2 linked regions of the Astyanax mexicanus genome follow. The protein of the gene in region 1 interacts with the protein of each later gene in a pairwise test. Links are inferred from orthologs where the notes say so. Each region holds a gene or a part of one and is shown in the gene's direction. Other genes may lie near its edges.

The links. The genes of interacting proteins can lie anywhere in the genome.
Region 2: the proteins of prkaa2 (region 1) and E3 ubiquitin-protein ligase CCNB1IP1 interact in binary tests that used the Homo sapiens proteins (3 or more experiments, as listed by UniProt). The two-hybrid records come from large-scale screens. The link is inferred for Astyanax mexicanus from reciprocal best matches to the Homo sapiens genes PRKAA2 and CCNB1IP1.

The regions. Positions count from the first base shown.
Region 1 is NC_064408.1:61,610,215-61,618,351, forward strand, and holds the start of prkaa2 (5'-AMP-activated protein kinase catalytic subunit alpha-2), read left to right. Parts: upstream 1-4,796; 5' UTR 4,797-4,959; coding exon 4,960-5,053; intron 5,054-8,133; coding exon 8,134-8,137. Other genes in the region: plpp3 (phospholipid phosphatase 3), read right to left, coding at 367-505. UniProt on the Homo sapiens protein: Catalytic subunit of AMP-activated protein kinase (AMPK), an energy sensor protein kinase that plays a key role in regulating cellular energy metabolism.
Region 2 is NC_064415.1:23,510,603-23,518,780, reverse strand, and holds E3 ubiquitin-protein ligase CCNB1IP1, read left to right. Parts: upstream 1-4,689; 5' UTR 4,690-4,771; coding exon 4,772-4,778; intron 4,779-5,153; coding exon 5,154-5,452; intron 5,453-5,578; coding exon 5,579-5,725; intron 5,726-6,461; coding exon 6,462-6,627; intron 6,628-6,836; coding exon 6,837-6,997; 3' UTR 6,998-7,241; downstream 7,242-8,178. Other genes in the region: si:ch211-212k18.5 (sal-like protein 2), read right to left, coding at 280-355; ttc5 (tetratricopeptide repeat protein 5), read right to left, coding at 7,988-8,107. UniProt on the Homo sapiens protein: Ubiquitin E3 ligase that acts as a limiting factor for crossing-over during meiosis: required during zygonema to limit the colocalization of RNF212 with MutS-gamma-associated recombination sites and thereby establish early differentiation of crossover and non-crossover sites.

The DNA.
Region 1 (8,137 bases):
GAAAACATGTTTCTTTTTTTCTTTTTCATTTCAATAAATAAAAGGGTCTGAAAAAAGTTTTTTTCTCTCTCAAAATATTATTAATGTCATAGAGGGTTAGTTAACTGTCTAGTTAACATTACATGCACTGTATACATGAGTAACTAGCAAACAGTTTAGCAGTTTTGTACCATTTTTCTGAGAGTGTAAGGCTAACACCATGTCACAAAACAGTAGAATTAGAGTAAGACTTGTTGATGAATGGCTAAAGCTGTTTTTGTTCTCTTTTTTTTATATTTTAAATGTTTTGTTGATAGTAAATCTATCTAGGTTAGCTAGATTAACAGTGATGAAAAAAGGGGAAATGAGGCAGGTTTAAAGACTCACCTAGGAGCAGGCAGAAGATGTCTAGAGCTATTAAAATTTTCCTCTTGCTCTTGTTCATGCCAGTGCTGCTATTTAACGTCGCAGTTCCACCGTTTCTTGTTTCGGGTGCCATCGCCTTCTCATACATGTATTTTGGCATGTGAGAGCTCCGTCCTCCTGCTGTACAGAAACCTCAGTCCACACGAGCACAAACTCAGCTTGCTCACTCAGTCAGTCACTCAGATAAAAAGATAGATAAATGTAGAAGGTAAGATGGGAGGCGAGGTCCGGCTCGTTTGAGGAGAAAAAGTCCTTAAAAGTTGATATTCAGAGGAGGAGTGAAGTCCTGCTGAATGTTGAACCGTTGAACCGGTGTGTAGAGTGAATAATAACCCGCCTCACGGTCACCGTCTCTCGGTCTGTGGGATGAAGACAGCAGCCCCCCGGTCAGTGTGTGTTTTCAGTCAGTAAGTCAGTGAGTGGAGGAGAACTTGAGTCCACTTCTCTAGTGTTGGAGGGCTTTCTGAGGGGAGAAGAGCGAGAGCGGCGTTTTAAAAAGCGCAGGAGCTTCAACTCCAGTTTTAAGACTCCCTTCCCTCGTCTCCTCCTCCTCCTCCTCCTCCTCCTTCTCCCTCTCTCTCTCTCCGTGTGCAGCAGAGAGAGCTTCAGCAGGCTCAGCCCCCTTCCTCCAGACCCACCTGCATGCTTATTATTATGCTCAGCCCTTACGCTCCGAGCCTGCAGCACGCGCTCCTCCTGCCACCCGTATTCAGGCAGGCCCCGCCCTCTCGCTCTGAGACTGAGTGGAGTGGAAGCGTGTCCTTCTGACTGTCCGCGCTGCGATTGGCTGGTAGCTCCTGCAATGCTGCAATCAGGAGCAGAGTCTCGAATCGCCTAGCCAATCATTGCGCAGAAGGGCGGGGCTACACGGAATACAGGCGGTCATAAAGCACTGAGAAGGTTAGAGACAGAAAGAAAGAAAGACGCCAAACGAAGAGCTGAACTCTTCTATTCTGAACAATATATTCTTTATACCCGAGTTTAACGACGTCTAACAAAGCTCCACACACACTTTTCTTCATATTCTGATGATGAAATTTTAATACATGTTTTAATTCCTTGATCTTATAAACTGTTTTGCTATAAATTGTTGTGAACCCTTTCCATTGTGTGTATGTTTTATTACGGAGCCCCTAAAGTGACATCATGTAAAAAAAAAAAAAAAATAATAATAATGCGTGGCCATGCCTTATTAAGGCATGAAAACGAGATCCTAAGGCGTGGGAACCAGATAATTAAGGCGAGGGAACGAGTTAATTAAATCATAGCCAATAAGGCGTGGCCAAAAGGTCCTTTTGTTTCATAGTTAACAAAGCGAGCAGCTCTCAAGAGTTGACTGAGCCCGTCAGCTTTTAGTGTGAGAATTAAGAGTCCCTCGCTACCTTTAAGAAACTCCTGAAGACTGAGCTCTTCAAAGAGCACTTACTACTTCTAACCTCATTTTCTGCTCCCTCTTTTTCCCTCCTCTATCCCACTATTTCCCTTTGGCCTCCTTTGGGCCCTGTCTTAAATGGGTTTTTTTTTTGTTTGTTTTTTTTGCCTTGAACTTCTATGTCTTCTATTACTAAATGTACATCACTATTGTAAGTCGCTTTGGACAAAAGCGTCTGCCAAATGTAATGTAATGTAAAAAATCTCTTCATACTTTGTAAGTGGTAGTTATGCAGCATGTATTTTTATTAGAGGTGTAAGGAAATATCAATATCAAAATATAGCAATAGTTTGTTTTGCAAATCGGTATTTATAAACAATAAATGACCAAAAAACAACACATTTCTGAATGTTCGTACTGTTTTACTGTTGCAGTATTATTGTGAACCCTTTCTCTGCATTGTGTGTATGTTTTATAAATCACACAATCATATTTTAAAATATATTCAAACTTTGTTGTAAGTGATAGTTATGCAGCATGTATTTTTGTATTGTACAGCATGTATTTTTAATGTATTGTAAGAAAATATCAATATGAACGTATAGCAATATATTGTTTGCAAATTCATATTCAAAAACTCAGTATTGACATTTATTTATTAGTTCAAATGTAAAGATTGAAGTCAGACAGTGGTTCATTTTGCCTACTTTTTAAGCCTCAACCACTAGATAGCAGTGTTGTACTTCATTGCATTGTGTCATTCTTTTTCTTATCTATACTAACGCACTAGTATTTTTAATTGTGCTGCATAATAAGAATGATATAGTAGTTTTTAAAATATTTTAAAATACATTGTGAATAAAATAATTAAACCCAACATGCTGTTGCATTCACCGATATAGAAATGAGGGAGGAGAAGAGAAAGGCAAGAGCAGATAGTACTGTTGTGGTTTCTCTATACAGAACTAGTCAGTGGTATTTTGCCTGAAATGTTCGCCTCTGGTTTTCTCAGTAGTAATCCTACTCCTCCATCTAGTGGTCATAATGGTTCACAACTGGAATATTACTGACACTGCTTTTTATGAAATTATATCAAATTAACTCACTCATTTTTTGGTTACATTACTAAATATAATACACATCAGTACATTTTATCTTCTATACACGCTTATTCTGCATGGTACAACAGATATTATACAAACTCTTTTACACAATCACACAGTTTTCGTAGAAGTTAAAAGTCTTCCAGCTGTAGTTGGAAATCATTTCCACTCTTCTCCACAGATGTCCACTAATATACACAACACAAGGCTGTTTGTTGTTGATCATTTAAAATGTTTTGTATGTTCAGGAAGTCCACCAAAAAGGTTTGAAGTATATTTTGTATCTTGTAGAAGCGTCTTGTTTAGTTTCAGCCTTTTAATGGATAGTCTGATGTTTTTTGTTCCAAGTCCAGGTTCGGTTCACTGTGACCCGCTATAACATTAATACAACAAGCCTGATACTGATTATGTACTCTTTGCGCCGCCACAACATTTCTGATCATGAGAGGCATGGGCTCAACAAGACCTCAAAAGGTCTCCTAAAAAAATCTCAGCATGGAAAAATGAAGAAGCTGATAAAGCTAAGCTAGCACAGGCTTTCCTAAAATACATACATTTTTTTAAATGCAGCATCAAGGAAGGTGTGAAATGTTTAGATATATCACAAATGTTAACACAACCTTAACTAAAAATTCATCATTAGAGCAAATAAGCTATTCACAGGATGTTTAGGCTACTAACAGTGCTGTCTCTACCACAATATGAGTACAGTGATTATAAACCCAGTTTTATTCTGCTGTATACTATAACAACCCTCAGAAGAAGCAATTAGTGTTCACAAATACTGATAAAAATCATTGGTTGTAGGCAGTAGCTAAAATTAGCCACATTGTCACACACTCAGATGGCATTTGGCTCTACAAACACTTGTTTAAAGCAGACAAACATATAGCTCTGTCAGTATGGTTCCAGACCACAGGTAATCATTACATTACATTAGTAATAGATGTTCAAGGTTAAAAAACAGGGCCTAAAGGAGGCCCCAGAAAAATAGTGGGAATCACTATATCAATCACATGGTGTGTGAAGGAGAGCTGGTCATCAACCAGAACACTCAGGTTCTTAGCAACCTTTTTAGGGAGAGAGAGAGTGAGTCAATGGTTATGGTAAAGTTGTGTTGAATAGATGGTTTTGCTGGTATAACCAGATGTTCAGTCTTGGTCCTGATCAGTTTATCATGGAAGAGAGAGGGGGTTCTCCAGCTGTAACACTACATTAGAGGCAGACGAAGATATTTTCAGAATGTGAAAATTCAGAGTCTGACACTGAGTTTAATGTTCAAATAATGGGTATTTATGACAAAAAAAAATATTACTTATTACTGTTACTGGAAATCACTCCTGTTACTGATACTTATTTATGTAACAGGGATTAGTTTTTAGCATACAATTAGCAAAAACATGAAAAATAGCTAAATGGTGGCTATGCTAATATCATGAAGACACTGAGCACATTATAATGATTTTCCTCAAAGTTCTGCCCTGGGGACAGAAATGGCATCCATTCGGTCGAATGGCCCTTATATTTCTTGGCCAATTGGGATGAATTAAACTTCTACTCAGTATTTTACAAAAAAATGGTTTGATTATTTGAATTAAAAGCCCTTAAATGCAATGGGTTCACCAGCAGGGAGGAGGGAGGACTCCCTGTGTAACAAAAAAACGAAGACCCTGTATAGTTTAAAGTAAAAAATGTAAGGTGAACGTGGAGAATTATACATATTTTGGCTTCACCTGCATAAGAGAGCACGCTCATGTTGTAAATAACAGTTTTACAGTTTTTATCTGAAGGGACTATAGTGAGAAGGTGTCTGTGTAGCGTGCTTGTTATGTTGTTGACACCATGGCTCCTCCCCTATTTTCCACGCTCTCTCTCTCTCTCTCTCTCTCTCTCTCTCTCTCTCGGGTCTGACCTATGATCTGTGGGCTTTGGTCGGGGGTCTTAAATTTGAGGCACATTTCTCCGGTCATGCTGATCTGAGGTCGGGTGAACCTGAAGCCGCTCGCGCGCCGGGCGGAGCCCCGCCCCCCTCCTCTCGCCGGCCGAAGCGAGCAGCGAGCTGCTGCCCCGCAGAGTAAAATGGCCGAGAAGCAGAAGCACGAAGGCCGGGTGAAGATAGGACACTACATCCTGGGGGACACGCTCGGAGTGGGCACCTTCGGCAAAGTGAAGAGTTAAGTGTCTGGGCTGTGCTCTGGCTGCTCTGTGAGGCGGCGGGGCTTCGGGTTGTGGAATAGCGGCTGTGTGTGTTTTTACCGTAACCGTTAATAACGTTGAACTTGCCGGCGGAGAGTTTACGTAGTTTACGCAGCGAGTTTTCACGCAGTTCGCTACGGATTGAACGGCTCTGGAGCAGAGAAGTGGCGTAGCGCTGTTGGGGAATAAGCCTTTTTACGAGTGTTAATGCTGCGTTACTCTGGGGCTAAGTTTAGGGGGTTGCAAAAAATGCACTGCACTAAATAACAAAGCCTGCGGGCGCTGTTACTGTACATGCATGGGCTCGTTTATCACAGGATTATCTGCCTAATAAATGCATACCTTGTAATTTGCAGCAGTTGTGAAAATTAGGCAAATTGTGTGTTTATGTCGTAGCATGTTTTATAGCTTTATGTCTGCAATACCAGTGTAGACAAAATAGTAGTAATAGCTAGTTGCAGTAATATTAGTATTAAAATATTACTATTATTAATAATAAACGCTTCTTTCTTGATCTGTCAGTAATATTTTGTCTACGTTGTTTTTTATTTTTATTTTTTCCCCATAAACCTAACTTACATTACAAACAATACTGTTATACTGTCCTAATCTTATAAATAAAGGCATGTTGACAAAACAATAGGTCCAATATGTCCACTGTAGATTTGGTGCTATCTGTGTGTGCTGGACAATGGTGTGTTGATTTCATGCTAAAGGGTTAGTTAATTAGCACGTGAGCTAACAGCTCTTAATGCTGATGCTATTCTCATAGGGTGTGAGCAGCCCCTCAGTGCTGGTAATAAGACAGTAATAAAGGAGATGAGATCAGAGTAAGATAAGAGCAGGAGGACTGGCATGGTGACCAAGCAGCCCTTTATTACCCCCAGCTGGACATCCCATTAAATGACCTTGAGAAGCAGTGAAGGAATTTGGGGTCAGTTTGAGCCACAGTGTGAGTGGCTCCATGAGCTAAATCAGCTCCACACATCCACTCCCCTGCTCTTTAACAATGCATCACAACAACGACACCACACAGTACTGTGCCCCACAGGATCCTGTACTGTATCCATTGTTTGTTAATTAAATGTACTCTTAACTGCCCTTATACCTGAAGCTGTTGTTAAACTCTGTAATTTCATTGTGCTAGTATCTCACCTTGTTTCATTAAAAAGCTCCTTCTGTAGAAACAGACCCGCAAAATAAGACGATAGCAACTCTGCTCTGAGGCAGAAATATGGTGTAATGAAAAAGTGACATGCATTCAAGTGCAGGAAAACCAAAGATTTAAACTGTAAAGTTATCCCCTCAAAGTAGGTCTGTACAAGATATCATTTTAGCATAATCACAATGTTCACATGCACAACAGTCCCATCGCAGGATGCATAATGTCACATTAGGCAAATTTAATTAAGTGCTAACACCCCCTAACTTTCCCAATATACATCTTACAGAGGCAGATTATGTCTGCCTAAAGAAATTATTTTATTCCAATCTTTGTCACAAAGTATATTATTAACATTGTGATACATTGGATCATTGACTTCTTGTGACTTCTGATGAAAATTCCTGTATTTTTTAAGATCACAATATATATCATAGAACAAAAAAATATTGACAGTTTCAGCCAAACTTGTGTATCCCTACCTCGAAGGGTAAAAATATGACATCAAAAGCCTTTAAGCTTTTTTTTTGTGCAACCCATTTAAAAGGGGTTAAATTGTTGCCTTGCAGGAAAACATAATTAAATTACATTAAACATTAATTTAAATAACTACAAAAAGTTAAACTAGATGTTTTCTTATCAATATGTTATTGGTTCTTTTTTGCATCACAGCCAATATTTATTACAACAAAGCTTTAAAATGATCTGTTTTTAATTTAATCAATTCATGTAAGATAAGTATCTCAAAGTAATGATATTACTAATATTATTACTATTATTACTAACTAATATTACTAATATTACACTTTTTGATACTCTTTGAAGCTCTTTTTGTTTGTTATATCTGATACAGCATTTTCTGCTGATATTGGCCTGATACAAATACACAATTCTAATGCTGTGTACCTATTAAACACTTTAAGCTTGTATTCCTGCATCTTGTTGCTGTTGTTTTGTTAATATTTTCTATATATACTGATGATTTTTAGGCATACCGTAAAACCAGAAATTGGACTGCCTGTCAGACAGTGTCAGAGTAACAGAGGCAGTGAGGTAGACTCAGTCAATTCTGCATGCCTGGGGTGTCACTGGAGTTAAATGTCCAACCAGGGACACATTTGTTCACAAGTTGAGGGGCGTGTGTTGCGAAGGACGGCTTACAGGAAAGCACACCACTTTGCCTGAACATACTTTCACTGCATAAAGGCAGGGGTAGTAAATCCTTTTAGCATTTATGTGGTGAACTATAACTATTACAGTTTTTTCCCTGAGCATAGTATTTTTCTTTTACAAAGCTTCTGTCATTATATGAGATATAAATACTGTGTGAGGTCATTATTACTGTTTTGCTGTTAGTTTATACTACATACCAATACCTGTAATTACATAATTACTTACATACACAATTTTATGTTGTGTTTCACACCTGCACATCTGACTTTTTCCATCTTGTTTTGATATTAAATGACAAAATTACTGCACATTTAACAGTAGTTTATCAAATTATATTGTACTGATCTTTTCTCTGCTTAGAAGCACAATATAATTGGGTACTGAATGTGTGGAACTTTTAACTAAATGTCCCACTGAATTCAAAGAGTGTTAAGAGTGTGACAAATAGCATATTTATATTCATTATTTCACAAATAAATATCAATATGCTTTTTGTTATCACTAGTGAATATTGCAGCCTCTAATGGTTAACAGTATAGAGAATCTGTTACTGTAACTGGTGTTATAAAACAAACTGCTGCTGGGGTGTCATGGCACTTGGTTTGTTTTTTTTTGGCTTCACACTGATCTTTCATCAGCTGTGTTATAGGAAACGGTTGGTGGTCTTGTTGCAGCTGAGGTTTCATTGGTTTGGGTATGTTTGTTTTCATTTTGCTTAACAGTTGG
Region 2 (8,178 bases), on another chromosome or scaffold:
TCAGAGCTGCATCTATAAAGGCTAAAAGCCTGTTCACTGAAGCTAGATCCCTCTGAGTACAGACAACAAACAAACGATATTACTCTAGTATATGGGCTATTATTATTACCAGCACGTGCTAATGTTTATTTACGCCATCTTAATAACTTTCCTTAATAACATCTCCATGATTGACATGATTGGCACACCCTGCAACTCTCCCAGCAGGTCCAGAGTGGCGTGCATAAAGACACACAGTGGCTATGACCAACAGATAAGAATCTAATACAGCAGGCTCACCTTGCACTGCCAGCCTCGGGCCTCCCGGGTCCGCGTTCACGAGCTGCTGGGGTCGCTTCTGCTTGCGGCGCGACATGATTCACAGCGAGGGCGCGCGGTGTGAGGGGGGCATCCGCCAACTTTTTCACACGGACGCGGCGGATTCCTAAACAACAAAGGAGGCTCTTCCTCGCCTGCGCTCACCTTGCAGAGGGACGCGCGCGCCGAGACTGCTGTACTGTAAAGTCAGCGTTAATTTACAGCAGCAGCCGCAGCTCGAGCGCGCTGTGTTCCTAAACTAAGCAAACTGAGAACCAAGGTAACTAATAACTAACTGGCGGCGAGTCGCAGACCAGCACAGGAGCGTGACGTCCGCAGTTACTGCGAGATTTGGCGAGTGCGTGTGTGGCTGTATTTCCTCAACAAGTCGCCTCTTTCTCAAACTTGCCCACTGTGCACCCCCCCCCCAAAACACACACACACACACACACACACACACACACAAATACAATCTCTCCTTGTTCTTTACTGACATTTGCATTTCAATGGCGTGGAGCACCGTCTCTTTTTCTTTCTCGCTCTCTTGCATTTCTCACACCACCGAGCCATAAAGCAATTAAACACAGTCTCTCCTTAGCGTGTCTGACAGCAAACTATAATAATTATGTTAGTAGAATCACATAAATCACACCCTCTACCGAGACAAGTCAGGTGTGTTTTATTTTTTTTGTTGAGAAATTATGCTAGAAAAAAAGCAAACTATATATTGAAAAAATATATACAGTGTTTATAAAACATGTTAGCACATTCTCCTTGGCATATCTGACGGCAAACTATAACAATTATTTTAGTAGAAATCACTTAAATCACACATCCTCTAGTCAAGTCACGCGTGTAAAAATATTATTAAATATAAAAAGAAATAATAAAAAATACAGTGTTTATAAAGCAATTAAACGCACTCTCCTTAGTGCGACTCAATATAAACTATATATAATGTCCCAAACACTATTAAAAGCTTTTCAAGAGTACTTCAAAAGCTAGAACCATAAACCTAGCATTTAGAACACTATTATCCAGATAAAACTGCTGCATAATATTTATGATTCATTTAGGGCCTACATTAGTTGACATTTTGTCCTAATATTATGATTCCTTATATGACCATATGTCTCTATTATAATGTTATAAAGTTATACACTTTTGCTTGTTTTTTTATCGAGCTGATATAATGTGTGACTTACCCTCTGAGATGAACAAACTGATGTCTATCTATACAACAGATTTAACAACTGGAACAGGCAAAGAACTAGCTAAGTCATTCAAATGATTCTATGACTAGTCATAAGAACACCTGAGGAATCACGTTTAAAATGCTTATTCCACCTACGTTGAAAAAAATACACTCTTCTGTAGACCACAGGGTGATAATCTTTTTCTTTTTTATTTCATTTTACTTAGTTCTAGGAATCGTTCAACCACAAGTCAGTTTAAGCAGGGAACTGATGTGGGAATTTTCTCAGTTAGTAGGTTAGGTGTTATTGAGTACAGTGTTATATAATTAGGCTAAATGATGATAAACTGAGGTTCTGTACAGAAAGACACAAACAACACTCTAGCTGGAGACAATAGTGTAGAAACTTTAACTTGCATCTCTAACTATTCTCATGATAATGATGATACGATTCTGGACGGATTTGAGTCTGATTGGGGGTACATTATCTAGACCCTGTTCAGGAACTGGCAATCAATGCGATAGTATGCCATATCTTTATAAGTGGGCGAAGTTATGGGAGAATGGACCTCCCGTGGCATCCTCCCAGTGTTGGTGTGTCCGCATATTTGAAGCTCTATTTAAAAGCCACTGAATGGACGGGAATTTCCAACAATGGCGACCTGGACACAGTTGAGTGAGCATCTCTCTCCCTCTCTCTCTGCGCCCCGGGATCCGATGCTGCCTCGCACAAAGCCCCCCTTTCACCTCGCCTGTACTCCCATGCACCACGTGGAGGACGGATGGAGGGAAAAGCCATTTTTAATTAGATGTATCACACACGCCATGCAGCTACAACCGCCCAGGCTAATTTGTACCCCCTGTCTGGCAGAGGCAGCTCCCTGAAACGAGTTCATTAAAGTTACGTTACGAATTGTCATGTAGGCTACATACGAAACACTATATGTCCAAAAGTTTGTGGACACCCCCTCTAATAAATGCACTCAGCTGCTATAAGTTGCACCAGTTGCTGCCACAGCTGTGTAAATACACACACAGAGTTTGTCTAGTCCCTGTAGAGAACCTTTGCCAATACAATAGGACTCTCTGGAGCAGATAAACATGAACCGACTGGCACCATGCCTAATGCCAGGCTTAAGCTAGAGGGGTATAAAGCCCCCCAGCACTGAGCTGTGGAGCAGTGGAACTGTGATCTCTGAAATGATGGTGCTCCATTCAACATTTTTGGGATGAGCTAAAAAGTTGAGGAAGGGTGATGATCATCCAGCATTCTGACCTTCTGACCTCAATATATATCTGTATTGCTCTTCAGCCCCACAGCAATGATCCAAAATCAGCTACACCAACAAACAAAAGATACATTTTATTTATTTATATTTGTAATTATATTAAAAATGAAAAAATAGCAGTTGTCCCAATACATTTGTTTATTTAGTGTGACAGACAATACTCACAGAAATTAGGCCACAACTAATTTTAGTGAGGTAGTTCCCAGTTGTGAACCCAAACATAAAGCATGTTCAGGAGATAAAATATGCCTTATCTCTCTCAAACATGCAACAAAACAGTGTACAAGACCCTGCACATTCTGGAAGGCTGCATGAAAGCAGTATCATACAGTTCAGACATTCTTATAAAATATAAATTGGGAAAAAAGACTAAGAACATTGGCAACTTTGTAACCTATAAGAGAAAATATATATCCTAATGGCTTACCTATTAAAAGTTTGAATTATAAAAACGTGCACACTTCAGAAAACACAAAGTGTTGGGGAACACTTTTAAAGGTGCCCTTACATTAAAAAATGAATATGCTTTTAACTTACCTTGTTTAAGCTTACTAATGAAAGTGTGATATGTGGAACCTGAATACCACAAATCTCAAATACCTTGGGGTTTTATTTCAAAGCAAACTACATACATCCAGCCCACTAGTGAAAGCCTTTTAAGACTAAACACAAAACCTACTTTGTGAGAAGTGAACCCTAGTGGATGCAAGGAACCCTAGTGAACCCAAGGTAAAGCACCTTGAGAGAAGGATTGAGGAAGCACCAAAGCAGGTATGTCTCTGAAGGCCAGGAGGAAGCGCTGCAAAAACAGTGTGATATACAAGGTCCAGAACATCAGTCAGGGGAGAACAGGTAAACTGAGCGGATGCTAGCTGGATGCTATGTTACAAACTAGACCTACTTCACCATTAAGGGCCAGCTATCAGTCTTCCTAAAACAGTATGAGGTATTTTCAGACATCATTAAGAATGAACAGCCAATAAATTGATCAGTTCATCAACAGATCAAAACTAAGTAGTCAGTAAACAAGTAGCACTTAAATTTAATTTAACAATTAAAAAAAAAACTGTGTTAAAAACGATGTGTCAGTGAGTTTGGATTACATTTTTGGGAGAAAAGGAGAATGATGATGCATATAAAAAATAAAAAGTGTGAGTGTAAGTAAAAATATTTGGCCTCAAATCAATAAAGTATTGGAAGTAAAAGCTGTATTATGGCTCTAATGTCCTACTATTCTTCAACTATTGGACTACTAGCCTGCTTAATCGGCTTATATTTGGTAAAAAAGCCTCTAGCGTCACTTCTAGTTCATCATTTAAAAGTATGTCATTAATTTGTTGGACACTACTGGCTATTACATTTTTTTTTATAAAAACAAAACATTAAAGGCAATCAATTTTCATTAGGTAGAAACAAAAGGGCTAAAAAAAATAAATAAAAACAAAGATTCGATTTAAGATTCATTATTTACCTTAGATACAAGTGCAGATTTAATAAGCATGCTTTACAAATGAGTTTAGCTTACTTTAATACATAATTTATGTAGGCATAGGCACTCCCAACATTTTCTGTCCCACTTATGTTTAAAAGTATGTCGAACAGGTCAATATAAGTTAAAAACAAAGTGCATACTATATTACCTTTATTTGTGCGCTTGCTTCAAGCTTCTTTTGTTTCGATATGTTGCATTTTCATGCATAGATGACAAAACTAAAGTACTTTCTTTTCCAGATTTTTGATATATGACTTTGGAGTTAAAGTAAAAACGAAAAACCTACTTAAGTACAGTAACTATTCACATTTACCATGTTACTGTACATTTACTGTAAACTTACTGTACTGTACAACCCTTTTATTTCAGCCAATCACAGAAGAAATCGCAATAAATAGACCCCGCCTCCATTCTCTTTGTTAAAGCACATAAACATAGCAACTAGCCACCAGAGCTAACCTAGCTAACTAGCTACCTTCTAAACGAGCTCACTAAAGAATGTCAGGTAACGGTTAGCCAAAAAGCTCTTACATGATTAAAGACTCAATACATATAAATAATTACAGCCACATATTAAAATACGTTATACGTTTTATGTTGTCAATTAACTATGTTGGTTGGTTTGTTTATTAGGCCAGGCTAACTTTAACTACAAACGTAGCTAGCTATTTGTGTTACTTGGCTAACTAGCTTGGTTAGCTAACTCGTTAGAAACTAGCTAACCAGCTGAGTTAGTTAGCTAGCTGAATAGCTCCAAAACGGCGCTGAAACTAATCGTAGTTCTGTTGACATTTCCTGATATTTAACGTAATTTTATCATAATAACGTTAATAACAAAATTATATAACGTTAATTATAATTAATGTGCTCTTTGTTTTAGTCATGTCCAGGTTCGACTACAGTTTGCTCTGTAATTTCCCGAAATGTCGAGCCAAACTGAGCGGGTTCGCCTGGGTGACGGCCTGCTCCCATGTCTTCTGTGATCAGCACGGCTCTGCAGAGTTCAGCCGGACTCCCGCCATCTGCCCCGCTTGCTCCTCCACACTGTCGGGAAAGCTGGACATTGTACGCACGGAGCTTTCTCCATCAGAGCAGTACAAGGCCATGGTTTTAGTAGGATTACGACCCGAGACAGTCCTGGATATCAGTCATCGAGCACTGGCGTTTTGGACGTATCAGGTTTGCCCTGTATTTAAATTCACGAACCTGAACTGATGCATTGCTTATATACACACACAGACTCAAAGGCTACTTATATCAGCTATTGGGTCAGTACTCACCTGATACACTTATAACGTGCTTCAGGTAAACCAAGAAAGGCGGCTGATGGAGTGCAGTTTGTCTCGGGCTGAGGTACAAGTAGTTCAGATGGAGAAGGTGATTGCTCAGCAGAACCAAACCAGAGAGCTCGAGATAAACGCACTGAGAGAGGAGATTGCATCACTGAACAAGGTTTTTTAACGTTTACTTAATTCAGTTAGCTAATTTACTGTTCATTTTATTCTTAGTCATAAGTAAGAGGCAGTTTCCCATGCAGGGAATAAGCATAGTCATGGACTGCACAGCATTTTAAATAGAGATTAGTCTCAATCCCTGGCTGGGAATAAATTTACATTTCTGACGTTTATGACTCGTGTGGTAATTCCAGTGTTTATACCAAACTATACTACACCCTAATGTATTGGACAGTTTGAGCGGTTTCTAGACAGGTGTAACTGAATCACATAATGCACATAAAACAGTCATTGTGGAACAGCCAGTAGAACAGTGTTCTGCCCAACCCACCCCACTGACACCTATACAAACTCTGCACCCAGCACTTAACTTTATACTGCATCAACTAGACTTTCCCATATTATCCTACATACAGCATTCTGCACCCTGTAGTTCCCACACAACATATTCTGTACCTGCACTTTACTCACAGCTATTCTGTCATCTATTGGACAATCTCCTCACTTCCACAAACACACTCTCTAGATATCTGCACATCTATATGGCATCATATATTTATATATTCAGTCTTACTCAGCATTTGTAAGTATCATTTACCAGAATCTTGTAATGCACTTAATACATTAATGAGTATTCATTTTTACTACATGTGAATTATTTCCTAGTTAATCAAACTCTAGTTATTATTATAAGCACTGCATACTGATTCTGAATATTATCTCCTTATGTCCAGAGGCTGGTCGACTATAAACAAAAGTACAGTGAGGTTTCAGAGCTTTTGATTAAGAAGAATAGACAATATCAGAAGCTTCAGGGGCTGTTTGAGGCATTGCGGCTGCGTCCCAGGTCAGCTGGCTCAAGAGATGGACTGCACCATGCATCTCAAGCCTTTGCCACAGGTCAGTTTAAGCATTGGTAAATTGAAAACAGACAAAAGCAGGTGGGTGTAATAAAGAGGGAAATAAGAATGGGAGCAGATGTGTGATCAGTTGTATTAAAGCTAAAATTTACAAGTTTGGATCATGTTTTACAGGATAATCAATTTTAGTGTAGAACAGAGTAATATATAGTAGATAATGACATTGGTCCTTTTACTTTCTCCCTGTAGGACTGGTTAGACAGCACTCACCCCATGGCAGTCCTCCTTTCCTATCTGTGGGATCAGAGGGTGACAGGCTCTTTTCTGTAGAACCAGAGAGCTTTAAGAGCTTTTTCCAGTTTAATTCTTCTCCAAGAGACAAAAGTAATTCCTTTATGAAGAAAAATTGATTACAGTGCAATAATGTATGTTGTGACATGCATTTGTAGTTTCCCCATATGTGATTGTCCAAGTAATTTACATGTGTATATTTTCCCTATGTTGAATATTTCAGTGTTCTTTGGGTTACCTAGTATGTACAAATAACAGAGCAGTTAAAAGTAAAAAAGAAATCTACAGTATGAATATTCCTAAACTGGTAAAACTGTTATCACATACACATGCAAAGTAGGTATTAGTAAACATTTGAATACATCGATTTCTACCAATTCTTCAATATTTCCACTTACCTTAAGATGTCATATATATGGTGCTTTCTTACATGTTTGTCCACATAATTGTAGTGACATATGCTACGACAAAAAGTCCTGTTTTGTACTGCTAGTTGCCTGGATTATTCATAAGGTAGTAAGAAAAGCATGATTGTGTAATAGTTTCTGTGTGGACACCTTTGTAACAAAACCTACGTTAGGGCAGTGTCCAAGAAAGAAGAAGAAAAAATAAGCCTAGTTTTGGACTATACAGCACTTTGAATGTAGATTTTCAATTAAAATGGAAAAATGTTTACAACTAGGCTTAATTAAAATTGCATACAATAGATGTCTCTGTTGTTTTAAATGTTAGATAAATTAAAACAAACTAGTCACTTACAGGAAACTGATAGTAGTGGAATTTCTGTGTAAAAGCTGAAATTAAAATGCTGTACTCATCAATGTGTCAAATTTCACAAATTACACCAAGGTTTCCTTAATCTCATTAACAACTCTTTGACAAGTGTGTCGGGAGCACCATTGGAAGAGTTTTATTTTCTGGACTTCAAATGCAAAATAGGCAGCAGCAGTATGTTTTACAAACATCCACCAACCTCAGACAATACAAACAAAAATATATTTATATATGTACAACCAATATAAACTAAAACAGTAAACACTATATACAAAATGAAAAGACAACAAAAACACCCTTCCTTTCACCATAGTTCTTTGTTTGCACTGCCCCTTTCATTCAGTGTGTGGTTTGTAACTGACAGAGGTTGCTGTTTGGCTTTGCATTGCTTGTCTCTTTCCATTGACAATGAGCAGCAGAGGAGAGTCCACGCGTATACTCCGGAAATCGTAAGACTGCAAAGAGAAGGTTTTGAATTTGGTTTAAGTTCAAATGTTTATGTACACTGCAACACAGACTGAAAAGT